4 linked regions of the Anolis sagrei genome follow. The protein of the gene in region 4 binds, or shares a complex with, the protein of the main gene of each other region. Links are inferred from orthologs where the notes say so. Each region holds a gene or a part of one and is shown on either strand. Other genes may lie near its edges. The genes, in order: LAMTOR4, LAMTOR3, FNIP1 and LAMTOR1.

Region 1 (7,741 bases), on a different chromosome or scaffold from region 4:
CACAGCAGTTTTTGTGGGGCAAGGGTCAAGGGGACGAGGGTACAGAGGAAATTCATAAGGTTACATACATATATCAAAATCACAGGCAATAGGCATCACTGATACAGAGTTAGAGCAGAAGAGGAACCCCTTCCCACCCCATAAAGTTTATCTCAATAATTGATCTTTATTAAGGCACAAGCTGGAGGCTTCATAAACTTTGAAAAGGATAGTTCGTGGTCATGGATATGATAAATAGTCCAGTGCATAAGTCAGAGAGTCACAAAAAGGAAACAGGAACCCAGTTATGTGCGCTGGGTCAGGCAGCAACAGAATCCATTGTCCGGCCCTTGGGGAACTACAACTCTCACAAAAGGGCAGAAGTCCCAAGATCCAGCCATTTCCCAAAAAGCCTCGTGGGGTCCTTGTTGTTGTCAGTGCCTTGGCAATGTGGTCAAGACTTAACCCTTGTTGTGTAGTCTGGTGACCTTGCCCTTTGCAGAACTATAAGTTCTTATCCCTTAATTCTGAAAGGGGGGGGGGGGTGCCTGACATCATCACCAAAGATAATCAGAAAACACAGTATTTTCTGTTGGTCATGGGGGTTCTTTGTGGGACGTTTGGCCCAATTCTATTGTTGGTGGAGTTCAGAATGCTCTTTGGTTGTAGGGGAACTAAAAATCCCAGGAATCACGACTTCCAAATTCCACCACTGTTCACATTTGGGCATATTGCGTACCCATGCCAAGTTTGGTCCAGATCCATCATTGTTTGAATCCACAGTGCTCTCTGGATGTAGGTGAACTACAATGTCCACCAAACCCTTCCAGTATTTTCTTTTGGCCATGGGAGTTCTGTGTGCCAAGTTTGGTTCAGTTCCATCTTTGGTGCATTTCAGAATGCTCTTTAATTGGAGGTGAACTATAAATCTCAGCAAACTGTAACTCCCAAATGACAATATGAATATCTCCCCCCCCCCCCCCAACAGTATTCAGATTTGGGAGTATCGAGTATTTGTGCAAAATCTGGTCCAGTGAATGAAAATACATCCTGTGTATCAGATATTTACATTACAATTGATACCAGTAGCAAAATTATAGTTATGAAGTAGCAACGAAAATAATTTGATGGTTGGGGGTCACCAAAACATGAGGAACTGTATTAAGGGGTCACAGCATTGGGAAGGTTGAGAAACACTGATATTTGCTGAATTTCAGATTGCTCTTTAATTGTAGGTGAACTATAAATCCCAGCAACTACAACTCCCAAATGTCAAGGCCTATTTTCCCCAGATTCCACCAGTGTTCACATTTGGGTGTATTGAGCATTGGTGCCAAGTTTGGTCCAGATCCATCATTGTTTGAGTCCACACTGCTCTCTGGATGTAGGTGAACTACAACTTCCAAACTCAAGGTCAATGCCCACCAAACCCTTCCAGTGTTTTCTGTTGGTGATGGGAGTTCTGTGTGCCAAATTTGGTTCATTTCCATCTTGGTGGAGTTCAGAATGTTCTTTGGTTGTAGGTGAACTATAAATCCCAGCAATTACAACTCCCAAATGTCAAGGTATATTTTCTCCAAACTCCACCAGTGTTCACATTTGGGCATATGGAGTATTCATGCCAAGTTTGGTCCAGATCCACCATTGTTTGAGTCCACACTGCTCTCTGGATGTAGGTGAACTACAACTCCCAAACTCAAGGTCAATGCCCACCAAACCCTTCCAGTATTTTCTGTTGGTGATGGGAGTTCTGTGTGCCAAGTTTAGGTCAATTCCATCATTGATGGCGTTCAGAATGCTCTTTGATTGTAGGTGAACTATACATCCCAGCAACTACAGCTCCCAAATGGCAAAATCAATCCCTCCCACCCACCCTACCAGTATTCAGATTTGGGCTTATTGGGTATTTGGGCCAAATTTAGTCCAGTGAATCGAAATGCATCCTGCAGATCAGATATTTACATTACGACGAATAACAGGAGCAAAATTAGAGTTATGAGGTAGCAACGAAAATAATGTTCTGGTTGGGGGTCACCACCCACGTGAGGAAGTGTGTTAGGGGGTCACGGCATTGGGAAGGCTGAGAACGGCTGTGCTAGGGGGTCAATACACACTCGAAAGTGCTGGTTCTCATTCGTGCACATTTTGCAGTTTGAGTTAGCACACCTTGTGCATCGGCCCCCTTGGCCAGCTCCCGTCTGGAGCAATGCCTTGGCTGAATGCATTGGACACTACGGAAGTGCTCAAGAGACGGCGTTGGGCTCCTTCCCTTGCAAGGGCCCTCAAGCAAGGCAGGCATCTGAGCAGAGGCACATCTTGCTCGTTAATAAATAACACGACTAATGTACAGCTGGTGTCTTCAAATACAATGTACTCCCAAATTATATTGGACAGAAATGGAAGTGAGGCCACGCCAGGAAGACTAGCCACGCCAGGACAACGCCCACCATCACTCCAGGAGGACAACAGCTGTCTAGACTCACAGCCATGGGGCTACCTGCAAGCCAATGTCTAGAATCATAGAATCAAAGAGTTGGAAGAGACCTCATGGGCCATCCAGTCCAACCCCATTCTGCCAAGAAGCAGGAATATTGCATTCAAATCACCCCTGACAAATGGCCATCCAGCTTCTGCTTAAAAGCTTCCAAAGAAGGAGCCTCCACCACACTCCAGGGCAGAGAGTTCCACTGCTGAACGGCTCTCACAGTCAGGAAGTTCTTCCTAATGTTCAGATGGAATCTCCTCTCTTGTAGTTTGAAGCCATTGTTCCATTGCGTCCTCGTCTCCAGGGAAGCAGAAAACAAGCTTGCTCCCTCCTCCCCCCTGTGGCTTCCTCTCACATAATTATACATGGCTATCATATCTCCTCTCAGCCTTCTCTTCTTCAGGCTGAACATGCCCAGTTCCCTAAGCCGCTCCTCATAGGGCTTGTTCTCCAGACCCTTGATCTGTTCCCTCTTCCCTGTGGCTACCTCTCACATATTTGTACATGGCTATCATATCTCCTCTCAGCCTTCTCTTCTTCAGGCTAAACATGCCCAGTTCCCTAAGCCGCTCCTCATAGGGCTTGTTCTCCAGACCCTTGATCATTTTAGTCGCTCTCTTCAGGACACATTCCAGCTTAGAGTCAATATCTCTCTTGAATTGTGGTGCCCAGAATTGGACACAATATTCCAGATGTGGTCTAACCAAAGCAGAGGGGTAGCATTACTTCCTCTAACTCAGGCCCAGGCCACCTTCAGCCCTCCCTCCCTCCGGGTGTTTTGGACTTCAACTCCTACAATTCCCAACAGCCTACCAGCTCTTAGGAACTGTGAGAGTTGGAGTCCGAAACCTCTTTGCGCCTAGGAGGACAAACCCTGTCGCTGTCTCCACGCCTTCTCCCTCTATTTGCCAGTTCTTGATTTAAATGAAAACTAAATGGATCGGTACAGCAGACCGTGGGGAGAAGACAGAGGATATGGTCAGCTAGCCCCACATGGGATGATGCAGTTGCTCAAAGCCAAAAAAATAACTGGGTGGCCATCTGTCAGAGGTGCTTTAAATGTGCAGGGCAGAAGGGGGCTGGACTAGGTGGCCTTTAAAGATCTCTTCCAACACTATTATTATTATTATTATTATTATTAGAAACATAAAATGACTCCACAGCAGACACTCATTATTATGATTATGATTATTATTTGAAATACAATAAGATGAGTCCACAGTATACTATTATTATTATTATTATTATTATTATTATTATTATTGAGGCTGGATTGCCATCTTTCAGGGGTGCTTTGATGGTGCTTCCCCTGCATGAAGGCAGAATGGGGTTGGACTAGATAGCCTTTGAATGTCTCTCCCAACTCTATTATTATTATTATTATTATTATTATTATTATTATTGAGGCTGGCTGGCCACCTGTTGGGAGTGCTTTGATGGTGCTTTCCCTGCAAGGCAGAAGCGGATTGGACTAGATGGCCCTTAAATGTCTTTTCCAACTCTATTATTATTATTATTATTGAGGGTGGATGGCCATCTTTCAGGGGTGCTTTGATGGTGCTTCCCCTGCAGGAGGCTGGACTAGATGGCCTTGAAATGTCTCTCCCAACTCTATTATTATTAGTAGCAGCAGTAGTAGTGTTGAGGCTGGGAGGCCATCCGTCGGGGGTGCTTTGATGGTGCTTTCCCTGCATGAAGGCAGAAAGAAGGGGGCTGGGCTGGCTGGCCTTTGGGGGTCTCTCCCACTCTTTCCCTCTGATCCTGCGCTGAGGGCCCTTCCTTCTCTCTCTTTGGGAGATTCCGGGGAAGAAGGGGCCCTCCCTCCTGAGGCCAGGCATCCCTCTTCCCTCACTTCCGGTCCCTCCGCGCTGCTCCTCCTCCTCATTGGGCGGCACGCTTCCTCGTAGTCTTTGATTGGAGGAAGCCACGGCTACGCCACGCCCACTCATCCACGGGAGCCAATGGGAGGCCGGCAGGGAGCGGGGGAAGAGCGCCTATTGAGGGCGGGACGCCTAGCGGAGCTGCAAGGGTGTTGCCGGAAGTTGGAGGCCCTCACGTGACGCGCGGGCCCCTTGGCTGTGGAGATGGTGCGTTGCCAGGGCGACCGGGAGGGGAGGGACTGGCCCCCCTGGCCCCCCTCTTCCTGTGCTCATCCGGGTCTCTCTCTCTCTCCCTCGGGCAGGCTTCCTCTGCGGCGGCGGCGGCGGCGCTGACCCAAGGGCTGGAGCGCGTCCCCGACCAGACCGGGTACCTCGTCATCTGCGACGGAGCCGTCCTGGCCGTGAGCAAAGGGGGCGGGGCCTGCGGGAGGAGGGGCGGGGATTAAGAAAAGAGAAGATTGAGAGGGGGCGGAGTCTGGGAGAGAAGGGGCGGGGCCTGCGAGAGGGGGCGGGGTCTGGGTGAGAAGAGGCGGGGGCTGCGAGAGGGGGCGGGGTCTGGGATTGAAGGGGCGGGGATTAAGAAAAGAAATTTGAGAGGGGGCGGAGTCTGGGAGAGAAGGGGCGAGGCCTGCGGGAGGAGGGCGGGGTCTGGGAAAGAGGGGGCGGGGCCTTGAAGAGGAGGGGCGGGGATTAAGAAGCGGAAGCAAACATTGAGAGGGGGCGGAATCTGTCTGAGAAGGGGCGGGGCCTGCGAGAGGAGGGCGGAGTCTGGGATTGAAGGGGCGGGGAATAAGAAAAGAGAAGATTGAGAGGGGGCGGAGTCTGGGAGAGAAGGGGCGGGGCCTGCGGGAGGAGGGCGGGGTCTGGGAGAGGAGGGGCGGGGATTAAGAAGTGGAAGCAAACATTGAGGGGGCGGAGTCTGGCTGAGAATGGGCGGGGCCTGCGAGAGGAGGGCGGAGTCTGGGATTGAAGGGGCGGGGATTAAGAAAAGAGAAGATTGAGAGGGGGCGGAGTCTGGGAGAGAAGGGGCGGGGCCTGCGGGAGGAGGGCGGGGTCTGGAAAAGAGGGGCGGGGCCTGGGAGAGGAGGGGCGGGGATTAAGAAGTGGAAGCAAACATTGAGAGGGGGCGGAGTCTGGCTGAGAAGGGGCGGGGCCTGCGAGAGGAGGGCGGAGTCTGGGATTGAAGGGGCGGGGATTAAGAAAAGAGAAGAATGAGGGGGTGGGGTCTGTGAGAGAAGGGGCGGGATTTGTATAGGAGGGCGGGGCCTCAGAGGGGGCCTGGGAGGGAGGAGCGAGATATAGGAGGGCGGGGCCAGAGGTGGAGGGGGCGGGGCCTGAAAGAGGAGGGGCGGGGCCTAGTTGGAGATCAACAGGGGCAGGCTGGGCTTGGGTTAGCTGTGTGTTTTCCTGGCACTGTGTGGACAATGTCACCCGGCAGCACTCTCTCCTGACGTTTCGCCTCCATGTCTGGCTCCTGGCTTATTCATAATCACTTACAGCATTATTGTGATGGCACGCCGGGGTAAAAGGAAAACTCTATGTCTGGCTATTCCCGGTGGATATTGGTATACCCTCTGATGTACTTTAGTTCTTTAAAATATTTTATTTATTTATTTATGTATTTATTTATGGCATTTCTATGCCGCCCTCCTCACCCCGAAGGGGACTCAGAGCGGCTTACAAGGTTTATATTACATGCAATATATTATATAATTAGCATAGTACAATATCAGCATTAAACATTGCTATATTGCACCATACCACCATATTGTAATATTATTAGTAGTATTACATGTAATATAAATATATAATAATAATAATAATAATAATATATTATTATTATTATTATTATTATTGCATGACATTATAATATTATAAATATTCTATGTATATCCAATATATTATATTATTAGCCTGACACAGGAGACTAGATGGGGCTGTCTTCCTGGGCCCCTCTCTTCTATTTTAAATCTTTTAATTGTGTATTGTGGATTGTTATGGGGTCAAATTGCTTCCAAAAGGTGGGGCATAAGCAAACCTAACTGATCATAATGGTAATTCTCCTCCTCCCTGGTTGACCCTCTCCTTCTCCCTTTTGCAGTCTGCGGGCGACCTGGAGAATGACGAGCGCACGGCGGCGGCCCTCTCGGAGCTGGCCAGCACCGCCTGCGCCTTCCGCCTGCCCCGCTCCACGGAAGTTCCCTTCCGACGCATCTCAGGTGAGAGCAGAGGGAGGGGAGGCCTTCTCTGCGGACCCCCCCCCCCCCCAATTCCATGTAGTGCTGGAGGTCAGTGTGGGGCTGTTGTGTTGTGTATCAGCCTTACTCCTGCAGGATTCTGGGAAATGCAGTCAACAGCAGAGTCTTTGGGATTCTGAGCCAAGCAGGTCCCACCTCTCCTGAACTACATTTCCCAGAATTCTGCTGCAGGTTGATGCTGTGATGCATGACTGGAGTACCTCTCCCCTCCCAACCTTGTGGCTGCCTTTCCACCTCCTGCAGAGTGCTGGGATTTGTAGTTTGTAGTTTCTGGCCTGTGTATTTATGCCCCCCCCAATATTCCATTTACTGCTGGAGGTCAGTGTGGGCTTGGTGTGTTGTGTATCAGCCTTACTCCCGCAGGATTCTGGGAAATGTAGTCAACAGCAGAGTCTTTGGGATTCTGACCCAAGCAGGTCCCACCTCTCCTGAACTACTTTTCCCAGAATTCTGCTGCAGGTTGATGCTGTGATGCATGACTGGGGCACCTCTCCCCTCCCAACCTTGTGGCTGCCTTTCCAACTCCTGCAGAGCGCTGGGATTTGTAGTTTGTAGTTTCTGGCCTGTGTATTTATTTGTTTATGACCTTTCTTTGCCGCCCTTCTCACCCCCAAGGGGACTCAGAGCAGCTTATATATCTATCTATCTATCTATCTATATCTATCTCTATCTATCTATCTATCTATCTATCTATATATATATTAGGGCTGGGCGTTTCGTTTCGTAATTCGTTAAAAATCCGTTAATTTTTTGTTAACGAAGCGATAACGAACCATTCTGGAGCAACTTAAAAACGAAACGAATTTTTCAATTTGTTTCGTAAATGCTTCGTATTTCGTTATGTATTTGTTTCGTTATTGGTTTGAGATCGTTTCGTTATTATTTCCGCATGTCTGGGGCAAGTTTTATGGTTGTTTTTTGTTTAATTAGTGAAAAAAAATTATAATATCACACCAACAGTCAACAACAGAGGGAGAGGGAAGCTTCAGAAGTTTTTTCTGAAGTTTTTTAGCGTTTTGCGCGATCGCGGCCGCCATTAACGAATCGATTCGTTATTGTTTCGTTATTGTTTTGTAAATTTTTTACCATTTACGAAATTTCGCAAATACCGAACTTTTTTTAAGGAAAATTTTGTAATT
Region 2 (8,147 bases), on a different chromosome or scaffold from region 4:
ACTTGCCATGTAAATATGTGTGGGGAAAAACACTAGTGTGTATATAAAACTGTTAAAATCTCTAAGGCATATTTAGAGTCATTAAAGCTTTTAATCTCATGGATGGAATAAATGATATGACTACATCATTCTTTATTTAAGTATCAAGTATGTGGAACCGAAAGGAACAGGCAACTTTTTTGCATACAATTCTATGTTGAAGAAACTTAGTATCTTTTTTTAGTAGGCCATGTTAATTTAAAGTTAAAATGCTTGATTAAACCGGTTTATTGCCAGAATGCCAGCATTTTCCTCTTGCAGCTTGAACACTTCATATCTAAGCAGTGACAGTGGAGAAATCCACACCAGGCTATTTCTTGCTGAGTGAAATATAGTCACCCTAAAACTGAAATATACAAACATTCCATTTAGCATGCTGCTTCTTCTGATACACTAAAAAGAAAACCTGGCATAATAAAGACCACACTGCTGCTGCATCCCCCACCCTTTTAACATTTTGAGTTGCAAATTCTTTCAACATGGAAGGCATGGAATTTCCTATGCTGTAAATCTGCAAGCAGCTTGGTATTTTATAAATAGCTGTTTGGCAGCCTAGCATTTTTGTTAACCTGGATATCAGACTGCTCAAGAAAGTTGTTCCTGGACTTAAGCCTTGTGCCTTTGAACCATTTTGTTGATTCTCAGGTTGTTTTGAAATGCTGCTATTAGTTGTACCTGGAACTTCACATTGGCCCAATCATCCCAGCTAAGAAGTCACAGAACAGGTGTTTCAGTCCGGATGTGTGCAGAATGGAAGTTTATAAAGAGCGTTGAATAGCAAGAATGTAATGAAGGGTTTAGATTTTGAGGACTCGTATAAGAAATATGCATGTAGTCACTTTTGTTAGTGTAAATGCAATGTGCAGTTTTCAAGACACTAAAACATAGCAGACCTGGTGCCTGAAAAATGAGGATTTTAGCAAATGTTTGTAAGCTACTGCACATCAAATTCTGAATTCTTTTTTAATTTTAGTTTTAATTGCTGTCAAGGGTAGCAACTGTGAATTATCTTAGAACATAGAACAAGCCTGCAGAGTTGTTTCAGCTTCTGTCAGAATTTTTAATTTAGGTAAGAATATATTACCTTTTTTCTGTAGTAAATCTCAGTGTTGTCTAATTCATACAGGTAAGTTTTAAAAAATAGATTGAACATTTCTAAAGAGATCAATTTCCCTTGATTCATAGGACTTCTTGGACACAGTTTTTATGTTAAACCAAACTTCTGTGCATACTTAAGGCCTATCTGGAAGCCTACAGCACGATTTCAGTGCCACGATCTAAATTACAACTGTTTTTGTATAAACTTTTTGTAATGTATATCTGAAATGTGTTTCAGAGGGAAAAGAACCACAGAACGGGAAGGCTGTGAGTTGCACAGGTAACCTCAGTTGGGTAAAGAATGTTTAAAATGTTTTTTAAAAGCAGATTCAATAATTGAGCAGATCAATTGTTCTTATTCTCATTCATCACTTCCTCGGCCCAATTATGGCTCCAACCCAAAGCAATACTGAATAATTTGTATATAAGATTCTTTAAACACCTACAATCATCTGCAAAGCAGATTTCCTGTGCTCTACATCACTCAGCAACTATATTCAAATTCCATGATTTTAGTTTATTTTGTGGATTACAGGATTGTGTAATTTGCAAAATTCACTTTAAAATTAATTTAAATTTACATAAAATGTTATATGCAATATCACAAGTAATAGTTACTTAACTTTCTTTTCCAGTAGGCCCAGGGAGCCTTTTGAGCCCCCAGGTTTTATTATTATTATTATTATTATTATTATTATTATTATTTGCACTCACCCCAATACCTCATAAAAAAGATAGAATATACCAGTATTTTCACTCGTGCAAGCATCCAGGAACCAGAGCTTTGCTTGTCCTCCCATCTCCCTGCTCAACTGGAGGTTTTAAAAACTGACGTGGGACTCCTAACCACTTCCAGTTCGGTTTGTGTCTGTTTTCTGGTTCAGTCACTTCACAGTGGATTTAGGGGCTGAAGTGTTACTGCGAGACTTCATACATTGCAGAGAAAGAAGTGTCCAGCAGGGTGAATCACAAGTGGAGATGAAATCCCTTTTGGCTTTCAAGTTCTATAGAACACATGAATTTATGGTAGCTTTCAAAATTGTAGAACTTACATGGATCTGAAATATGTTAATGTGGGCAGCATTAATGATTTAAAGATGACCTTTTTATTAGCTCCAAGTAATCATGTACTGTGTTCAGTGTTTCCCACCAAATACATTTGTCAATAGAGGGTAATTTTGTTTCCCAGGGACCTGCCACAGGTTGCAACCCCTCAAAATGCTTTTGTTTCTATGTGTATGTTATCCTCCAATGATCCAAAAAGGGCTCTACTATTAAAAAGTTTCACAAGAAGTTTACATCTTCAAAGGAGCTTTTGTGCCGAGTTGTGAGTTTTCCGGGCTGTATGGATATGTTCCAGAAGCATTCTGTCCTGACGTTTTGCCTGCATCTATGGCAGGCATCCTCAGAGGTTGTGAGGTCTGTTTGAAACTAGGAAAATGGGGTTTATATATCTGTGAAATGTCCAGAGTGGGAGAAAGAATTCTTGTCTGTTTGAAGTAGGTGTGAATGTTTTAATTCACAACAAAGGATTCCTCCAGGCAGTAAGAAGCCAGACCTTGAAACCGCTAGGCCATTAAATGTTAATTAAGGTAGCCAATTGAAAGTTTCACCTACCTCAAACAGACAAGAGTTCTTTCTCCCACCCTGGACATTCCACGGATATATAAACCCCATTTTCCTAATTTCCAACAGACCTCACAACCTCTGAGGATGCCTGCCATAAATACAGGCGAAACATCAGGAGAGAATGCTTCTGGAACATGGCCATACAGCCCGGAAAACTCACAACAACCCAGTGATTCCGGCCATGAAAATGAAAGCCTTTGACAATTCATTGAGCTTTTACGTTTTGAGGTGGGATTCTTTGAATCTGTAAGAACAAGTTGACTTTGGAAATTAGTTTCCTATGAGACAAGAAAGCCACCTTGTCATTATTTAATAAACATTTTTAAAATCCATTAGTGGCCCACAATTTAAAAACTTTAATGGTCTTTGATGGGGTTTTGTGGAAACATAACAGAGTTTCATCTTACTGAATATAGTTGATGGAGAAGCTGATCCATTAGACTGAAATGATTGGTGCAGTTCTTGATGTTTAGCCTATGTTTTCTCAATAAGATATATTCCAAAACTGTCTGCACTGTGAAGGAAGACTTTCTAGTTTTTACAAGAAAGGAATGTCCATGTGCAATGTGATTCCCAAGTACATTAAAATAAACAGAATCATTCCTGCACTTAATAAATTGTAAAAAAAAAAAATTATCAATGCCCTACAGACAAATGATGTTTTCAGAACAATTGCTGTCAATGGATGACTTTCTGATAGTGACTACTAATTTCTTGGGATTGCATGAAACATGTCAGACTCTACAAGCATAACTTGACATTGGCAATAATAAGAGTTATTTTTAAGCAAGTGCTTAGGAATTGAACTGTCATGTGTGTCTCATGACAGCTCTAGAAACTGGAAAGGGCTTCAGTGTTAGTTTTGGAAGGGCTGATAGGATGAGAGATCTATTTGTGAATCATGCTTTGCCAGTTTATAACAGACACCCTGCAATTGAAATTCTATGAAATTGAGACTGGCATCTTAACAAAAATATATGTTATTTAACTGTAGATGTAATGTTAGATTTTTAAAAATCTAATTTGTAATTTACCTAATGTAATATCAGACTTGTATCAAAATAAAATTATTTTCGGTGTGAATAAAACATTTTTATCTGATTCTCTAGTTCTGTCACAGGTACTTGAATATAAAAAAAGGAGACAATTTACAAAGAGTTTATTTGCATTCCTGTTGTGGTTCATCTTTTTCAACTACAATATGTGTTTGTGAATAGTCACAATTTTAATTACCACTCTTCATGAGTTTGATCTATTCTTTCTGCTCTACTAATCAAAAAGTCTCTTCTACTGCTGCAAGGAATTTGGATCCAGTGGAGCTTCTTGGTAGGCAAGGAACTGCCTGGACTCTCCAGCTTGAGTCCATCTACACCAGGAATGGCCACACTTGGGCCCTCCAGGTGTTTTGGACTTCAACTCCCACAATTCCGAACAGCATGACCCCTACCGGCTGTTTGGATCTGGAGCAAACTTGGCATGAATATTCAATATGCCCAAGTGTGAACATTGGTGGAGTTGGGGGGAAATAGACCTTGACATTTGGGAGTTGTAGATGCTGGGATTTATAGTTCACCTACAATCAAATAGCATTCTGAACTCCACCAACGACGGAATTGACCCAATCTTGGCACATAGAAAAATACTGGAAGGGTCTGGTGGACACTGACCTTGAGTTTGGGAGTTGTAGTTCACCTACATCCAGGGAGCACTGTGGACTCACACAATGATGGATCTGGAGCAAACTTGGCATGCATACTCAATATGCCCAGATGTGAACATTGGTGTAATTTGGGGAAAATAGACCTTGAAATTTGGGAGTTGGAGTTGCTGGGATTTATAGTTCACCTACAATCAAATAGCATTCTGAACTTCACCAAAGAAAGAATTGGGCCAAACTTCCCACACTTCTGATGGTCCTTGGCGACCTTGGCGAGGATTGAGAAACACTGCTCTAGGCGGCCAATCCTTTTATTGGACTTCATTTCCCAGAAGCCTCAGATGCTTTCACCAACGATGGAGAATTCTGGGAGCTGAAGTCCAAACACCTGGAAAGACCCCACGCTTAAGACAATCATGCAACCAACCTCTCTACAGGTGATCATAAGCCTAATTGACGCTTGGGAGACACTGAACTGAACCACGTGGCTCCTCCCTCCCTCCCAAGGCCTGGCCCTCTCTCACCGGAAGTTCCCCTGCTCCAAAGCGGAAGTGAGGGACAGGAAAAGGGAAGAGAAAGTCTCCAGTCACATGACAGCAGAGGCTTGAAGGGGATGCAGCTGCGGATCCAGGCAGGACTTCTCAGGCGGGGCGCCCGGGAAAGAAGGGAGGTTTGTAACCAGAGGAAGGCACCAAGGGGGTGAATGAGAGGGGAAGGTTGCCAAGGGGTTAAAGGCGTCTTGCTTCCATTGCAGCAGGCATACTATGTATCCCACTCTTTCCCTCCTTTCTATAGTGTCTAGATCCAGGGAAGTCATGCCACCCCCTCTATTCTGCCTTGGTTAAACCACACCTGGAATCCTGTGTCCAATTCTGGCCACCACATTGTTGAATCTAAGTTGGAATGTGTCCAGATTAGGGCGACTAAAATGATCAAGGGTCTGGAGAACAAGCCCTAAGAGGAGTGGCTTAAAGAGCTGGGCATGTTTAGCCTGAAGAAGAGAAGGCTGAGAGGAGACATGATAGCCATGTATAAATATGTGAGAGGAAGCCATAGGGAGGAAGAGCTGCCCTGGTGACTAGGATGCAGAACAATGGCTTCAAACTACAAGAAAGAAGATTCCACCTGAACATTAGAAAGAATTTCCTGACAGTGAGAGCTGTTCAGCAGTGGAACTCTCTGCTCCAGAGTGTGGTGGAGGCTCCTTCTTTGAAGGCTTTTAAACAGACGCTGGATGGCTATCTATCAGGGGTGCTTTGAATGTGATTTTCCTGCTTCTTGGCAGGGGGTTGGACTGGATGGCCCACGAGGTCTCTTCCAACTCAATGATTCTATGATTCTGGAGACCATCGGTTCATTAATGCTGTTGGACACCCCTTTAACTGCCATAGCTCAGTGCTATGGAATAATGGGAGTTGTAGTTTTATAAGGTCTGTAGCTTCCTTTGCCAAAGAACACCGGTGCCTCCCCCCAAAACTACATCTCCATGATTCCACAGCTAGCATTGAGCCATGGCCCTTAAAGTGGTGTCATAGAATCATAGAGTTGGAAGAGACCTCATGGGCCATCCAATCCACTCCCTTGCCAAGAAGCAGGAATATTGCATTCAAAGCACCTCTGACAGATGGCCATCTAGCCTCTGTTTAAACACCTCCAAAGAAGGAGCCTCCACCACACTCCGGGGCAGAGAGTTCCACTGCTGAACGGCTCTCACAAGCTTCCTCCCTCCTCCCTGTGACTTCCTCTCACATATTTATACATGGCTATCATATCTCCTCTCAGCCTTCTCTTCTTCAGGCTAAACATGCCCAAAACTAAGACAAGTCAAACCCCCATTTTGGACTTTAGGAGAGCTGATTTCCGAAAAATGAAGGAAACACTGAGCAGAATTCCGTGGACAGATACTAAAAGACAAAGGAGTGTCAAACTGCATTAATTCTATGGTGCAGATGCACCCCATATCTTCAGAGAAGGAGCACCCGAGATCCATGACAATCTGGGAAGTTTGCATTCTTTCACGATTTCTAATTAAAAGGGTTGCTTTTAATTTGGCTGCTTCCATAGGTCTTGATTGAGGGAAGTACAGTAGAGTCTTGCTTATCCAACTTTCGCTCATCCAACGTTCTATATTGTCCAACGCAGTTCGCCTCCTTCCTGGATCCACAGCTGTTTCTATACAGTGCGACGTTTTGGTGCTAAATTCGTAAATACAATAATTACTACATCACATTACCATGTATTGAACTGCTTTTTCTGTCCATTTGTTGTAAAACATGATGATTTGGCGCTTAGTTTGTAAAATCATAATGTAATTAATAAGTTTTTCCTTAATCCCTCCTTATTATCATACATTTCCCCTTATCCAACATTCTGCTGGCCCATTTATGTAGGATAAGCAAGACTGTACTATAATACAGGTTGAACATCAATCATAAAAAGACTAAAAGAGACTCCCAAGGGCCATTCAGTTCAATCCCATTCTGCCATGCAGGAAGATGCAGTCAAAGCACTGACAGATGGCTACTCAGCCTCTTTTTGGGCTCTTCCATGCAGCCATAAAACCCAGAATATCAAGGCAGAAAATCTCACCAAAGGATCCCCCAGGCATCAACCAACCAGATTTTGAAGCTGCAAGGCCATGAAATGCTAATCAAGGTGGCCAGTTGCAACATTCACACTTGCCTCAAACAGACAAGAGTTCTTTCTCCCACCTTAGACATTCACAGATATATAAACCTCACTTGCTTGGCCCCATGCTAGCCGCTCCGAGTCCCCATTGGGGAGATGGTGGCAGGGTATAAATAAAGTTTATTATTATTATTGCCTAGTTTCCAACAAACCTCACAACCTCTGAGGATGCCTGCCATAGATGTGGGCAAAACGTCAGGAGAGAACGCTTCTGGAACATGACCATACAGCTTGGAAAACTCACACCAACCCAGTGAAATCCATGAAATCCATCAAGAACACATTATATCCCACAATGTCTGCTTTGAACTTGATTATCTGAGGGTCCTTCCACACAGCCCTATATCCCAGAATATCAAGACTGCAAATCCTACATTATTTGAGTGTGGATTCAGATAACTCAGTTCAAAGCAGATACTGTGGGATTTTCTGCCTCAATATTCTGGGATATATGGCTGTGTGGAAGGGCACTAAATTCAACTAAAGTAGATCCTTTGAATGGGTTGTTGTAGGTTTTTCCGGGCTATATGGCCATGTTCTGGAGGCAATTTTTCTCCTGACGTTTCGCCTGCATCTATGATGCAAGCGAAACGTCAGGAGAGAAATTGCCTCCAGAACATGGCCATATATCCCGGAAAAACCTACAACAACCCAGTGATTCCGGCCATGAAAGCTTTCGACAATACATAGATCCTTTGAATCTCAGAGATTTACATATGTGTTGATGCATTCATCAGTTATTGATTTAGTGGGCAAAGGTGAGGCTTAGCAGTTAGAATTCAGGCAAACAGTCGCTTCCTTGTTTGTTGTTACAGCAACATATATCCAATCCCTAAATTCCATTCAAACCTTATCCCAAATATTGTGTACAGTGAAATGACATGAAACACCTTTGCAGTAAATAGTTAACCAGCTCTCCAATCCAATAAGCCTTTATTAGCATGTATAATAATACTGTATTTTAATACAGTATAAATTATAGAGTAGCTGTCATGGCAGCCATTATTATTATTATTATTATTATTATTATTATTGG
Region 3 (7,328 bases), on a different chromosome or scaffold from region 4:
TGTGAGTGTGTTGTTGTGTTGTTTTTCATTTTGAGTAGATATGTTTGTACCTTATGGGTTGTGTTATGGGCATGGCAATTTTGGTTAAGTTTCGTTGGGGTTTTTTGAGTTTTGTTGATTTGCTATTTTGTGAGTGTGTTGTTGTGTTGTTTTTCATTTTGAGTAGATATGTTTGTACCTTGTGGGTTGTGTTATGGGCATGGCAATTTTGGTTAAGTTTCGTTGGTTTTTTTTGAGTTTTGTTGTTTTGCCGTTTTGTGAGTGTGTTGTTGTGTTGTTTTTCATTTTGAGTAGATATGTTTGTACCTTGTGGGTTGTGTTATGGGCATGGCAATTTTGGTTAAGTTTCGTTGGGGTTTTTTGAGTTTTGTTGTTTTGCCGTTTTGTGACTGTGTTGTTGTGTTGTTTTTCATTTTGAGTAGATATGTTTGTACCTTGTGGGTTGTGTTATGGGCATGGCAATTTTGGTTAAGTTTCGTTGGGGTTTTTTGAGTTTTGTTGTTTTGCTGTTTTGTGACTGTGTTGTTGTGTTGTTTTTCATTTTGAGTAGATATGTTTGTACCTTGTGGGTTGTGTTATGGGCATGGCAATTTTGGTTAAGTTTCGTTGGGGGGTTTTTGAGTTTTGTTTCCTCGTTGGATGCCCCTAACAAATTTATATATATAGATGAGTATGTACCCATCATCCCTCACCACTGCCTGTGCTGCCAAGGGCTGCCGAGAACTTCAATCCAACAGGTTTTGGAGAACCATAGTTCCCCTCCTCTAATACAGGTGATCTGAGAGGTCTCTGCTACCTTTAGCTATCCACAGGCCATCTAGAGCTATGATGCTAACATTAAACACAACGACGGAAGGAAGAATAAAAATTGTTGTAATGCCTTGCAGATCTGTGAATGCCTCATTTGTTCCTTCACTGTTGTGGATTCCACATTACATTGCTATGTTCATAATTGCTGCCGCATTCTCAGTATTTAGCTGAGCTGGTCATCACATGACAGATACACAGTCTACCACCAGGCTGTACTCAAAGCTTTACCAACTTGATAAAGCTGCCAGATCTTGTGTTTTGGCAGTAAACGCTTTAAGAGCCCAGCTTCAGTTCCATGCTGTGATGAGGTGGCAGAAAAGGATTCTGTAAGTAACAAAAACAGCAACTTTTTTTTCCCCTCTGAGAGACAAAAACACCCATACATTCACTCAATAATCCATACAATGACTTTTTCAAACAGCTAAGTATTATGTTTCTCCTATTTCAATGATAGTGAGCTGAGGATTGGTGGCTTTCATGCAGCACTGATGAAATGGTTACAGATACTCTCCTGTTAACTTTGAGGTGTGGGAACATTGCAGCAGGACTGCTCCCTCTGCCAGAAAGAGCACATGCTTCAACTCTTCCCCATAATAGCACTCCCCGGAGAGCAGGACAGGGATGATGATAGGAGGCCTTGCAATGCTGGCCACTTCCACATGGCTTGCTGTGTAGAGCTCTCATTCTGCAAAGGGACTGTAAGGCTGGGGCCTTCTTGGCTCTTATATTCTAGAACAGTATGTACTGAAACAAATGGCAGGAAAAGGTAGAAGTGGGAGATGCCAGAAAATGTTGCTCTTAGTCTGTGTTCCAGTTCATATCCTCTAGGAAACTCCATTCCATTATACCTCCTCGCACAATTGGAGTCCAGTCGGATGGGGAAAATGTGAAGGCCAAATGAGGACTCCAGGAGGTGTAGGTTTGGCTCCCGAGCCTGAAATTCCCAACCCCTGCTATACATATGATTTGAAATTACAACTTCTTCTCCATTTGTGTGCAGATATGATGAGAATGATGCTGCTTTTATGATCCTCTTGCCGTCAGGCTACAATGTATGGGTTGATTTTGATATGACCTGTGGATAATTTGTGGGTCAAACCAAGGAGACAGAAAGCACCACTGTCACCTCATTCCAAACCACCACTGCCCTTTGGGAATCCAGGCAGGAAAAAGGCCAGAAGTGGTGCCATGGCCGTGAGAGTAGAAAGATGGGTGCTGCTTTTAGGTCAGTGGTTCCCAACCTTTAGTCCTCCAGGTGTTTTGGACTTCAACTTTCAGAAATCCCAGCTATTAGGAATTGTGGGAGCTTAAGTCCAAAACACCTGGAGGACCAAAGGTTGGGAAACATTGTTTTAAGTTCTTTTGGGATGGACTAATCTCTCTTCTTTGGCTATTCTACGCAGAGAGGGAGGTGGTTCCTTTTTTTTATGAGTTACTTACGGTACATTGACCTATGGAGAAGTCAGCCCAGTTTTGTGGGGGCTGTTTTTTTATATTTTTTTATTACAAAAGTGTATAAATTTATACTTGAGTATACATAGCACGGTTTCCAGGATTTTATTTGGTGCCATCTGTTGAACGTGATAGAATTATAAGCATGGGCTTTCACAAACATCATCATTTCTGTGTTGTCGAAGGCTTTCATGGTCGGAATTATTGGGCTGCTGAGAATTTTCTGGTCTGTATGGCTGTGTTCCAGAAGCATTATCTCCTGACGTTTTGCCCACATCTATGGCAGGCATCCTCAGAGATCATGAAGTTTGTTAGAAATTAGGCCGACTTTCCAACAGACCACACAACCTCTGAGGGTGCCTGTCATAGATGTGGGTGAAACGTCAGAAGATAATGCTTCTGGAACACAACCATACAGCCTGGAAAATTCACAGAAACCTATTAACATTTCTCTCCTGATTCTTTCTGGATGTTGTCATAATCACAAGCAGAAGCTAGAATTTTGACAGTCTTGTGGGTTATTCTGGATTCTTAATGAAAAAAGGAGAACACTTTTTTGGATCCTTCGACAATACTTATTTGGATCCTTTACTTTATTCTACACAATAGTACAATAGCTGAGTTTGAACAAAACAAAGTGTGTCCCTCACTTTTGTTGTAAGAACTGAAAGTACTAACTCAAAGGAGCAGCTAAGGAAACAGATTCTCCAAAGTAGATGCAATATTGATTACTGTGAATGTTCAGGTTGTGAGGCCTCTGAGGATGCCTGCCATAGATGTGGGAAAAATGTTTTGGGGGGTGGGTGGGGGCTTAGTCTGAGTGAGAGAGAATCTACTCTAGCCAACCTTTTATATCGTTATCCCAACACCCCCATGCATATGAGATATATTGAGGATAGTGCCGGCGCACTCCCCTTCCTCTCCCGGCACCGAAGGCTGAAATCAAAGGAAAGAGAGTGCGCTGATGGCCCAGGTGTGGACAAGGACGCCACCGTGCCACGTACCAGTAAGGCCTTCTCGTGGATCACCCTGAGAATTTCGGGGGGGGGGGGGGGGGGGGGACTGAAGCCCCTCAACCCCCCCCCCCCCCCGCTACATAAGGTTTTAAATTTTGTGTTATTGCTTATATGTGAGTTATATTAATTGTACTGTTTTATTGTTTGCTGCTTTGCTTTTACTGATGTGTTGTTGGGCTTGGTCTCACGTAAGCCGCCCTGAGTCCCCTTGGGGAGATGGTGGCGGGGTGTAAAGTTTTTATTATTATTATTACATGTGACTATGAACTTAAAATCAGTTCATGTGACTATGAACTTAAAATCAATGCTTCATCACGCTAGAGAATGAACCCACTTTAAATCTGGTTTCTGCCTCCTGCAGAATTCTGGGGTTTGTAGTTTAGTGAGGGGCCTTTCACAGCCTCACTAAGCTACAAATCCCAGGATTCTGCAGGAGGCAGAAACTGGATTTAAAGTGGGTTCATTCTCTAGAGTGATTATGTGGTTAAAACCATTGGGTCTACACTGACCACATGATGCAGTTCCAAACTGCATGATATGGCAGCGAAGATAGGACAACCAGTTGCATCCCTTATCGAGCTCTGGAGCTGCAGCTCTTTAATCAAGGCGAGGGAGGAGGGGGAGAAATCAGTTTTGAAAAAAAGCAAAACACAAACGACGATTGAGGATGTTTCCTTTTGTTTTTGCGAGCCAACCCCCTCCTTGCTTGAGAGTGTGCTTGGAAGGGGGCGGTGGATTGGGGCCAAATTTGGCGGGAGAGATCTCCCCCTTCTTCCTCTTCTTCCTTCTCCTCGTTGCCTTCCTTTCTGGCCCCAAAACACACCCTGCCTCTGAGCCGCGCCAAGCCCCGCCCCTGTGCCACGTGAGCAGGCCTCCTCGGCCAATCCGCGGCGGGGAAGCCCTCCCCGAGCCCCGCCCCTCTCCTTCCCTCGCCGGGGCTTCTCCGAGTGATTAATTTTTGTCATATGACTGTCACACGCGCGGGCGGGCGGGCGCCTTACACACACACACATACACACACACAGGGAGAGAGAGGCGGCGAGGGAGACAAGGCGGGCCGAATGGACTCGCCTTGGCGGAACTAGCTGCCTTTGCTGCTGCTGCTGGGAGGCAGGCGAGGGACCCTCCTCCTCCTCCTGCTTGCGCCCACCATGCCCCCCACGCCCACCCTGTTGCAGAAGCTTTTCAACAAGAGGAGCAGCGCCTCGCCTTCGCCCGCCAAGGAACCCAAGGAGGAGTGCGTCCTCAGGTAGGGAAAAGAGGAAGGGAGGGAGGGAGGGACCCCCAGGAGAGGGGCTTCCCACCTTGCCCCCCCCCCCCACCCCGCTTACTCTCTTTCTTCTTGGCCTCCTCAGTAAACACAATGCAGGAAGGGCCAGGAGGGCTCCCACATCGCAGAACTTCTTTTTGCATTGTCGAAAGCTTTCGTGGCCGGAATCACTGGGTAGCTGAGAGTTTCCTGGGCTGTATGGCCATGCCCCAGAAGCATTCTCTCCTGACGTTTCACCCGCATCTATGGCAGGCGTCCTCAGAAGTTGTGAGACCTCGCAACGTCTGAGGATGCCTGCCATAGAGGCAGGCGAAACGTCAGGAGAGAATGCTTCCGGAACATGGCCATACAGCCTGAAAAACTTAAGCAACCCACTTTTTGTGTGTGTGTGCTTCATTTGCAATACTGTGGCACAGGCATGGGCAAGCTGAGCTCCAGATGTTTTGAACTTCAGCTTCCACAATTCCTAACAGCCTGATACTCTATGAATACATTCAGTGGTCCTCAACCTGTGGGTCCCCAGGTGTTTTGGCCTACAACTCCCAGAAGTCCCAGCCAGTTTACTAGCTGTGAGGGTTTCTGGGAGTTGAAGGCCAAAACATCAGGGGCCCAACAGGTTGAGAACAACTGTACTAGGTATACTCTATACCAGGCATCCTCAAACTGCAGCCCTCCAGCTGTTTGGGACTTCAACTCCCAGAATTCCTGACAACTGAACAAGCTTGTTAGGGCTTCTGGGAGATGGAGCCCCAAGCAGCTGGAGGGCCACAGTTTGAGGATGCCTGCTCTATACATTCCATGTATCTATAGTATCATTCACAACCTCCCCAGTTCTGAGTATTGCCCTTCACTGGGTGCATCTACACTGTGGAATTAACCTAGTTTGGCACCACTTGGCTTCATCCTGTGGACTCCTTGGGGTGTATTATATTTTTATAAGACCTTGTGAGGAAAGCCACCACTCTCAGCACTGAGCTGTGGCAGTCCAAAGTGGTGCCCAAACTGCATTAATCCTACAGTGTAGGTGCAGCTCCCTCCCTTTCCAACTTCTAGAGCAGTGGCTCTCAACCCGGGGTCCCCAGATGTGTTTGGCCTACAACTCCCAGAAATCCCAGCTAGTTTACCAGCTGTTAGGATTTCTGGGAGTTGTAGGCCAAAAACATCTGGGGACCCCAGGTTGAGAACCACTGTAGAGGATCTCAAGTGGAAATCGCCAGGAGGAAGACCCCTAATAACAAGACAAAAGTTCTTTCTCCCACCCTGGATACTCCACAGATATATAAACCCCATTTTCCTAGTTTCCAGCAGACCTCACGACATCTGAGGATGCCTGCCATAGATGCAGGTGAGACGTCAGGAGAGAATGCTGCTGGAACATGGCCATACAGCCTGGAAACTCACAACAACCCAGCCCTAATAACTCTAAGGCTCACTTCCCCTGGCTTCCCCCTTCCTGCAACGTTGCTCCTTCCTGCCTCTTTCACTTTCTCAGTCCAGCCATACAGCCTTGCTTTCCTTCCTCCCTTCAACTCTAAAATTGTTCAGCTCCCTTTGAAACGTGGACATTCAGGGCTGGAGAGCAGTAGAGAAATTTCTTCATTACTGTGAAAGAGACAAAATCGAGCCATTTTCCTCCTTTTGGCCGATTTTTGAACTCTTCCTCTTTTCTCTTTCACTCTCCTCCCTCTTCCTCTCTTTCTCTCCTTTTGCAAACTTTCCTTGTTTGTGTGCATGCACACTGTAGAATGGATGCAGTTTGACTGCTTTCTGGTTTGGTGAGGCGTCGCTACCCTTAGACCCTTCCACACAGCTGAATAAAATCCCACATTTTCTGCCTATGGCAGTGTGGACTCAGTTAACCCAGCTCAAAGCAGATATTGTAGGATTTTCTGCCTTGATATTCTGGGTTAGAGGGCTGTCTGGAGGGTTTCTTTGTCAGATGGCCTTTCTGGTTTCTCCCTTTGTCAGAGAAGGCTAAACTAGCAAAGCTAGTAGCCATTAACCTGTTGTCAGATTGCATTGTTAGATGATGTACCCCTTGCTGCTGAGTTGGGAAGAAGGGGTGGAGTAGTCTTTTCCTTCTCTTTTGCCAGCCATGACTTTCCTTTTCTGCAGAAAGGGTTGGGGTGATCCGGGCAGTGATTTGGACCTCTCTCTCTGTGTTTATAAAAAATTGAAATGAAGGTTGACATTTCCCTTGGCCGCTTTCCTTGGAAGGGGAAGAGGATGGCAGTGTGCCTGGCCAGAGCCACCTTAAATCTGCAACTTGGGCCGCTGCCTCTTGCTTGACAGCGGATGAGGAGTGTAGGGTTACCAGAGAAATCAGTCAGGATCCTTCCACAACAGAGGAACCTTGCCTGGCTGGGCTTTTCTGGCTCTCCCTTTATCTTGCTGTTGTAACAACAACATCAACAGAAATGTGACTAGTGAGAGTCTTCTTGAACTCTCGAAATGATCATCTTACAATGTGTGTATATCTCTTTTGTGTACTGTTGGTATAATTTTGTCCTGAAGATGGAGGCCTAAATCCAGCTGCTTAAAGTTAGAAGTGTGGCTTTTAGAAGTTCTTGCTGGTTCAATAATGTTTGGGATTAGATTTCTGATCAAGGCTGCCTCTTCACTGTATCATAGAATCATAGAGTTGGAAGAGGCCTCATGGGCCATCCAGTCCAACCCCCTGCCAAATAGCAGGAAAATTGCATTCAAAGCACCCCCCACAGATGGCCACCCAGCCTCTGTTTAAAAGCCTCCAAAGAAGGAGCCTCCACCACACCCCGGGG
Region 4 (7,476 bases):
GAGTGCATCAAACTACAACTTCCCAAGATATCACAGTATCGGGTGCATAATGGATGCAGTTTGGTGCCACTTTAAGCTGCCATGGTTCGATGTTATGGGATCATGGGAGTTGTAATTTTGCAAGGTCTTTTGGCATATCTACCAATGAGTGCATCAAACTACAACTTCCCAAGGTATCACAGTATCCGGTGCATAATGGATGCAGTTTGGTGCCACTTTAAATTGCCATGGCTCAATGTTGTGGGATCATGGGAGTTGTAGTTTTGCAAGGTCTCTTGGCATACCTGCCAACGAGTCCATCAAACTACAACTTCCCAAGATATCACAGTATTGGGTGCATAATGGATGCAGTTTGGTGCCACTTTAAACTGCCATGGCTCAATGTTATTAAGTCATAGGAGTTGTAGTTTTGCAAGGTCCCTTCGCATTTCTGCCAAAGAATGCACCAAACTACAACTTCCTGAAGTCATGGGAGTTGTAGCTTTGCAAGGTCTCTTGGCCTATCTGTGAATTAGTGCATCAAACTACAGCTTCCCAAGATATCACAGTATTGGGTGCATAATGGATGCAGTTTGGTACCATTTTAAACTGCCGTGGCTCAATGTTATGGGATCATGGGAGTTGTAGTTTTGCAAGGTCTCTTGGCATTTCTGCAATGAGTGCACCAAATTACAACTTCCCAAGATAGCACAGTATCTGGTGCATAATGGATGCAGTTTGGCACCACTTTAAACTTCCATGACTTATTGTCAAGGGAGTTATAGTTTTGCAAGGCCTTGCCAAAATTCTTTGCCAAAAACTGATACAGTTCCCAGGTTTTTCTCTGCCAAAGACTTCTGGTAGTAAATACAACTCCCAGGTTTCCACACCATTGCTAAAGTAGGGTCAAACAAACTGAATTAATTTTGCAGTGCAGATGCACCCTTGATATACCTGCTGTGTGTTTGGGGATGGGTCCAGTTGCAAGGCCCCTTCCCCACAATGGGGGGGGGGCTTGAACCCCAATCCTTCATGCCCCCCCCCTTTCCTAAAAAGCAAAGCCTTGGAAACTCTGCTCTTTGCATGCAAAGACTTTCTCTTTGGAGCAAACCAGAAACCCTCTCTCAACCCATCCTGGTTGCTCCCCATTTGGGGGGTCCCCACCTCCCCAAGACCCCTAAAGACTAAGCTTCACCTATTAAGCAAAAAACAGTTTCACAAACCCTGCTTCTGGATGGTCCAAGAAGGAAGAAGAAAAGCAGGGAAACCTAAAAAGGAGGAAGGAAGGAAAGAAGGAAATGGGTGGTCCCTTTAAAGGACAGGAAGCCCCCCCCCAAAAAGGGAGGGGCAGCAGGGTCATAAAAGGGGAGGCTTGCAATGAGGAGGGCTGCAATAAGCCTTCTCCTTCCAAAACAATGGGAATGTGGGAAGGATAAAAAGGAAGAGGAGGAGAAAAGAAAGGGCTGGAAAGGACAAAGAGGCTGGGAATTGCCTTAGTCTGCCCATCTGCTTAGGGGTCAGGCTATATGACCTCAATCCCTACCTGGAATTATGAGGACTCCAACTGGACACAGGGCTATTCCAGGGAAAGTTTGGCCAATGAAGAAAAGGTTGAGACTAGGACTTTAAGAAGCTCAAGAAATGGGTTGAGGCCATGTAGTCTGGCCCCAGAGTCCGGCTTTGTGGGAAGGAGCATTCAAAGGGCATGCAGTCTGACCCCAGAGCCCAGGTTTGTGGGAAGGAGCACTCAAAGGGCATGCAGACTGACCCCGGAGCCCAGATTTGTAGGAAGGGGCACCCAAAGGGCATGCAATCGTACCCCAGAGCTCAAATTTGTGGGAAGAGGCACCCAAAGGGCATGCAGTCTGACCCCAGAGCCCAGATTTGTGGGACGAGGCACCCAAAGGGCATGCAGTCTGACCCTAGAGCCTAGATTTGTGGGAAGCGGAACCCAAAGGGCATGTAGTCGTACCCCAAAGCCCAAATTTGTGGGAAGGGGCCCCCAAAGGGCATGCAGTCTGACCCCAGAGCCCAGATTTGTAGGAAAGGGGCAGACAAAGGGTATGTAGTTCGACTCCAGAGTCCTGCTTTGTGGGAAGGGTCACCCAAAAGGCATGCAGTCTGACCCCAGAGCCCATATTTGTAAAAAGGCGCATCCAAAGGGCTTGCAGTCGTACCCCAGAGCCCAAATTTGTGGGAAGGGGCACCCAAAGGGCATGCAGTCTGACCCCAGAGCCCAGATTTGTAGGAAAGGGGCAGACAAAGGGTATGTAGTTCGACTCCAGAGTCCTGCTTTGTGGGAAGGGTCACCCAAAAGGCATGCAGTCTGACCCCAGAGCCCATATTTGTAAAAAGGCGCATCCAAAAGGCTTGCAGTCGTACCCCAGAGCCCAAATTTGTGGGAAGGGGCACCCAAAGGGCATGCAGTCTGACCCAGGAGCCCATATTTGTAAAAAGGCGCATCCAAAGGGCATGCAGTCGTACCCCAGAGCTCAAATCTGTGGGAAGGGGCATCCAAAGGGCATGCAGTCTCATTCCAGAGCCCGGATTTGTGGGAAGGGGCACCCAAAGAGCATGCAGTCTGACTCGAGTGCAGATTTGTGGGAAGGGACACCCAAAAGGCATGCAGTCATACCCCAGAGCCCAAATTTGTGGGAAGGGACACCCAAAGGGCATGCAGTCGTACCCCAGAGCCCAAATTTGTGGGAAGAGGCACCCAAAGGGCATGCAGTCTGACCCTGGAGTCTAGATTTGTGGGAAGGGGCACCCAAAGTGCAAGCAGTCGTACCCCAGAGCCCAAATTTGTGGGAAGGGGCACCCAAAGCGCAAGCAGTCATATCCCAGAGCCCAAATTTGTGGGAAGGGGCACCCAAAGGGCATGCAGTCTGACCCCGGAGCCCGGAATGAATATCGTTGCTGTGTGGAGCCATGGAAAGAAGCCTGCTGGTCCCCTCAGTCAGGAAGTTCTTTCTCATGTTCAGATGGAATCTCCTCTCTTGTGGTTTGAAGCCATTGTTCCATTGCGTCCTAATCTCCAGGGAAGCAGAAAATAAGCTTGCTCCCTCCTCCTCCCTGTGTCTTCCTCTCACATATTTATACATGGCTATCACGTCTCCTCTCAGCCTTCTCTTCTTCAGGCTAAACATGCCCAGCTCCTTAAGCCGCTCCTCATAGGGCTTGTTCTCCAGACCCTTGATCATTTTAGTCGCCCTCCTCTGGACACATTCCAGCTTGTCAATATCTCTCTTGAATTGTGGTGCCCAGAATTGGACACAATATTCCAAATATCAGCACCAGACACATTAAAACATTATCATCACAGTTAAAAGATCCAAATCGTCCAAAACCATCACTGTATAATACATTATAGAGTATATATATATATATATATATGATAATATAATTACCCAAACTCTATAATAGATATATTATAGATATAATATAATAGATATAATAGTTACCCAAACTAATATAGAATGTATAATAAAATATCATTAATAATGTATACTAAAATTATAATATAATAATAGATATAATATAGTTACCCAAACTAGTATATAATATATAATAAAATAATATATAATTTATAATGTATACTAAAATAATATATTAATAACAATATATATAAATAATATATATAATATAATAATAAATATAATATATAATAAAGCTATAAGGCAATTATGGCAGCAATTATATGAGTGCGAGCAATTATAAGAGGGATATGGCTTTGAAACTGACTTTTATCGCTTCAGGAAATAATATAATATATAGTTACCCAAACTAGTATATAATATATAATATAAAAATATATAATTAATAAAGTATACTATAATATATTAATAACAATATATAATATAATATTAATAGTAAATATAATATTATAATAAATATAATATAAATATAATATATAATAAAGTTACAAGGCAATTATGGCAGCAATTATATGAGTGCGAGCAATTAGAAGAGGGATATGGCTTTGAAACTGAAGGAAAGAAAGAAAGAAAAAGGGAAGGGAGGAAAAACTAAACTAAGCCTATTGCGCATGCGCAGCCAGTGTTTCGCAAGAAAAAAAAACCCCAAACACATCACGTGATCGCCTCCTGCGAGAAAAGGCAGGGCAGGAATGGAAATTTCCGCTCCGCCGTACGCAATGCGCATGCGTCCCCTTCAGACTGAGAGCGGATTGGCTAGCGCGTGAGCTCAGAGCCCGGCCTCCCTTTGGGATGATCACGTGAGCCAGCCCCACCCTCCCCAGCATTGCCAGAGTCCCCGGATGTTGACAGAGTCTAGAGTTGCCTTCACGTGACCGGAAGTGAGGGCGGAAGTGAGGGGGAAAGTGAAAAAGGAAGCACTGCGAGGGGAGCAGCGGCAGAGGGTCCGTCGGCGGGCCGGTGGGCGGCTTCTTCGGCCTCCTCGTCGTCCTCCGCAACCGCTGCCACCATGGGCTGTTGCTACAGCAGCGAGAACGAGGCCTCGGACCAGGTCTGGGCCCAAAGAATGGGGGGAAAGGGAGGGGCCCCTAAAGGTCATCAAGACCAAACCCAGAGGGACAAACCTGGGCCTTTTGGGGTTTGCTGTGGGCCCACTTTGGTGGTCATGAGGGTTCTGTGTGGGAGGTTTGGCCCAATTCTATCGTTGGTGGGGTTCAGAATGCTCTGTGATTCTAGGTGAACTATCAATCCTAGCAACTACAACTCCCAAATGTCAAGATTCCATTTCCCCCAAACTCCACTAGTGTTCACATTTGGGCATATTGAATAGCCATGCCAAGTTTGGTCCAGATCCATCACTGTTTGAGTCCACAATGATCTCTGGATGTAGGTGAACTACAACTCCCAAGCTCAATATCAATGCCCACCAAACCCTTCTAGTGTTTTCTGTTGGTCATGGGAGTCCTGTGTGCCAAGTTTGGTTCAATTCCATCATTGGTTGAGTTCAGAATGGTCTTTGATTGTAGGTGAACTATAAATCCCAGCAACTACAACACCCAAATGTCAAGATTCTATTTCCCCCAAATTCCACACGTGTTCACAGTTGGGCATATTGAGTATTCATGCCAAGTTTGGTCCAGATCCATCATTATTTGAATCCACAATGATCTCTTGATGTAGGTGAACTACAACTCCCCAACTCAACATCATTGTTTGTGTCCACAGTGCTCTCTGGATGTAGGCGAACTACAACTCCCAAACTCAACATCAACGCCCACGAAACCCTTCTAGTGTTTTCTGTTGGTCATGGGAGTCCTGTGTGCCAAGTTTGACCCAATTCCATCATTGGTTGAGTTCAGAATGGTCTTTGATTGTAGGTGAACTATAAATCCCAGCAACTACAACTCCCTAATGACAAAATCAATTTTTTTTAGTGAAGGACATAGATTGGACTATTACGTGTCTTGTGTCCAAATCTGGTGTCAATTCGCCCAGTGGTTTTTGAGTTCTGTTAATCCCACAAACGAACATTACATTTTTATTTATATAGATCAAAAGTATTGCATAAATTAGTATAAAACCCATAAAAATAGAAGGAGCGCAAGTGGCTAAATATCTTTTGAACAAAAACGGGCAACAGCATTGTCTGTAGCCTCCAACAATTTTTCCTCTGTACATGAAGCAGGACACAATGGATAAGTATACAGATGCAGAGTTGTCTGTTCTGCTCCACGGTGGTCCACTCTCTCGTTACATCCCGAATAGACTACTTTATTTATTTATTTATTTATTTATCTATCGTGTCAGGAGCAGCCAGACAGTTTGTATTACATTTTTGACAGAACAAACAAACAAACATACAAAAGACACAAAGTTTGCCAGTTTGGTAGTGGATTAAATGTCCTTTGACCAGTATCTGGCTTCTTGGAGTGCCTCTGGTGTTGCCGCAAGGAGGTCCTCCATTGTGCAAGTGGCAGGGCTCAGGGTGCATTGCAGCAGGTGGTCTCTGGTTTGCTCTTCTCCGCACTCGCATGTCGTGGATTCCACTTTGTGGCCCCATTTCTTAAGGTTGGCTCTGCATCTCGTGGTGCCAGAATGCAGTCTGTTCAGCTCCTTCCAAGTCGTCCAGTCCACTGTGTGCCCAGGGGGGAGTCTCTCATTTGATATCAGGTTCTGGGTTTGAGCCTGCCACTTTTGGACTCTCACTTGCTGGGGTGTTCCAGCAAGTGTCTCTGTAGATCTTAGAAAACTATTTCTAGATTTAAGTCGCTGACATGCTAGCTGATACCCAAACAGGGGATGAGCTGGAGATGTCTCTGCCTTGGTCCTTTCACTATTGGCTGCTACTTCCCGGCGGATGTCAGGTGGTGCAATACTGGCTAAACAGTGTAATTTCTCCAGTGGTGTAGGGCGCAGACACCCTGTGATAATGCGGCATGTCTCATTAAGAGCCACATCCACTGTTTTAGCGTGGTGAGATGTGTTCCACACTGGGCATGCATACTCAGCAGCAGAGGAGCACAGCGCAAGGGCAGATGTCTTCACTGTATCTGCTTGTGATCCCCAGGTTGTGCCAGTCAGCTTTCGTATGGTATTGTTTCTAGCACCCACTTTTTGCTTGATGTTCAGGCAGTGCTTCTTGCAGGTGAGAGCACAGTCCAGAGTGACTCCCAGGTATTTGGGTGCGCTGCAATGCTCCAGTGGGATTCCTTCCTTCTCAGGTCATCCTCAGAGCTCGGGATGCTTGTCTGTTCTTAAGGTGAAAGGCACATGTCTGTGTTTTAGATGGATTAGGGATCAGCTGGTTTTCCCTGTAATAGGCAGTAAGAGCATCTAGAGCTTCGGAGAGCTTCTGTTCTACCATCTCAAAGCTCCCTGCTTGAGCAGTGATGGCATGATCATCAGCATAGATGAAACTCTGTCCCTTCTGGCAGTGCGACCAGTATAAATCTGATAAAAATAGAAGGAGCACAGGCAGCTAAATATCTTTTGACCAAAAACGGGCAACAGCAACGACATTGTCTGTAGCCTCCAACAATTCTTCCTCTGTACATGAGGCAGGGCACAGCGGACAAGCATACAGATGCGGAGTTGTCTGTTCTGCTCCACAGTCACATAAGGTGTGGGTTTCTTTTAGGTGGTGCCATTTAGCCAGGTTGTCTTTTGATCTGCTCACTCCGCTTCTGAGTTTGTTCAGGGATTTCCAAGTGGCCCATTCTTGGTTTGCCCCTGGAGGAAGACCCTCCCTCTTGGGGGGCCATCCAGTTGGTATTTCCTGGTTGAGCTGCCCAGAAGGAGACCCTTGCTGTTGCTGGGGGAACGTCAAAAAGAGTCTTGGATCTCATGAAGGTTTTCCTTGACTTGAGTCTACTGGGAGGAGGCTGACAGCCATGCAGTGGGTGGCTGCTATGAGCTCACAGTGGCGCAATAGGTTATACCCTTGAGCCAGCAGGATTGGAGACAGACAGGCTGGAGGTTCGATTCCAGGGAGAGCGCGGATGAGCTCACTTTGTCAGTTCCAGCTCCCCATGTGGGGACCTGAGAGATGCTTTCCACAAGGATG

The links.
Region 1: LAMTOR1 (region 4) and LAMTOR4 share a complex: the UniProt entries of both Homo sapiens proteins name them as parts of the ragulator complex. The link is inferred for Anolis sagrei from reciprocal best matches to the Homo sapiens genes LAMTOR1 and LAMTOR4.
Region 2: LAMTOR1 (region 4) and LAMTOR3 share a complex: the UniProt entries of both Homo sapiens proteins name them as parts of the ragulator complex. The link is inferred for Anolis sagrei from reciprocal best matches to the Homo sapiens genes LAMTOR1 and LAMTOR3.
Region 3: LAMTOR1 (region 4) and FNIP1 share a complex: the UniProt entries of both Homo sapiens proteins name them as parts of the lysosomal folliculin complex. The link is inferred for Anolis sagrei from reciprocal best matches to the Homo sapiens genes LAMTOR1 and FNIP1.

Annotation. Positions count from the first base shown.
Region 1 is NC_090026.1:580,773-588,513, forward strand, and holds the start of LAMTOR4 (ragulator complex protein LAMTOR4), read left to right. Parts: upstream 1-4,452; 5' UTR 4,453-4,548; coding exon 4,549-4,551; intron 4,552-4,646; coding exon 4,647-4,745; intron 4,746-6,445; coding exon 6,446-6,563; intron 6,564-7,741. UniProt on the Homo sapiens protein: As part of the Ragulator complex it is involved in amino acid sensing and activation of mTORC1, a signaling complex promoting cell growth in response to growth factors, energy levels, and amino acids.
Region 2 is NC_090025.1:26,545,539-26,553,685, reverse strand, and holds the start of LAMTOR3 (ragulator complex protein LAMTOR3), read left to right. Parts: upstream 1-4,979; 5' UTR 4,980-5,093; intron 5,094-8,147. UniProt on the Homo sapiens protein: As part of the Ragulator complex it is involved in amino acid sensing and activation of mTORC1, a signaling complex promoting cell growth in response to growth factors, energy levels, and amino acids.
Region 3 is NC_090022.1:93,982,852-93,990,179, reverse strand, and holds the start of FNIP1 (folliculin-interacting protein 1), read left to right. Parts: upstream 1-4,238; 5' UTR 4,239-4,429; coding exon 4,430-4,527; intron 4,528-7,328. UniProt on the Homo sapiens protein: Binding partner of the GTPase-activating protein FLCN: involved in the cellular response to amino acid availability by regulating the non-canonical mTORC1 signaling cascade controlling the MiT/TFE factors TFEB and TFE3.
Region 4 is NC_090023.1:4,770,530-4,778,005, forward strand, and holds the start of LAMTOR1 (ragulator complex protein LAMTOR1), read left to right. Parts: upstream 1-4,263; 5' UTR 4,264-4,422; coding exon 4,423-4,464; intron 4,465-7,476. Other genes in the region: secreted frizzled-related protein 2-like, read right to left, coding at 1,203-1,339. UniProt on the Homo sapiens protein: Key component of the Ragulator complex, a multiprotein complex involved in amino acid sensing and activation of mTORC1, a signaling complex promoting cell growth in response to growth factors, energy levels, and amino acids.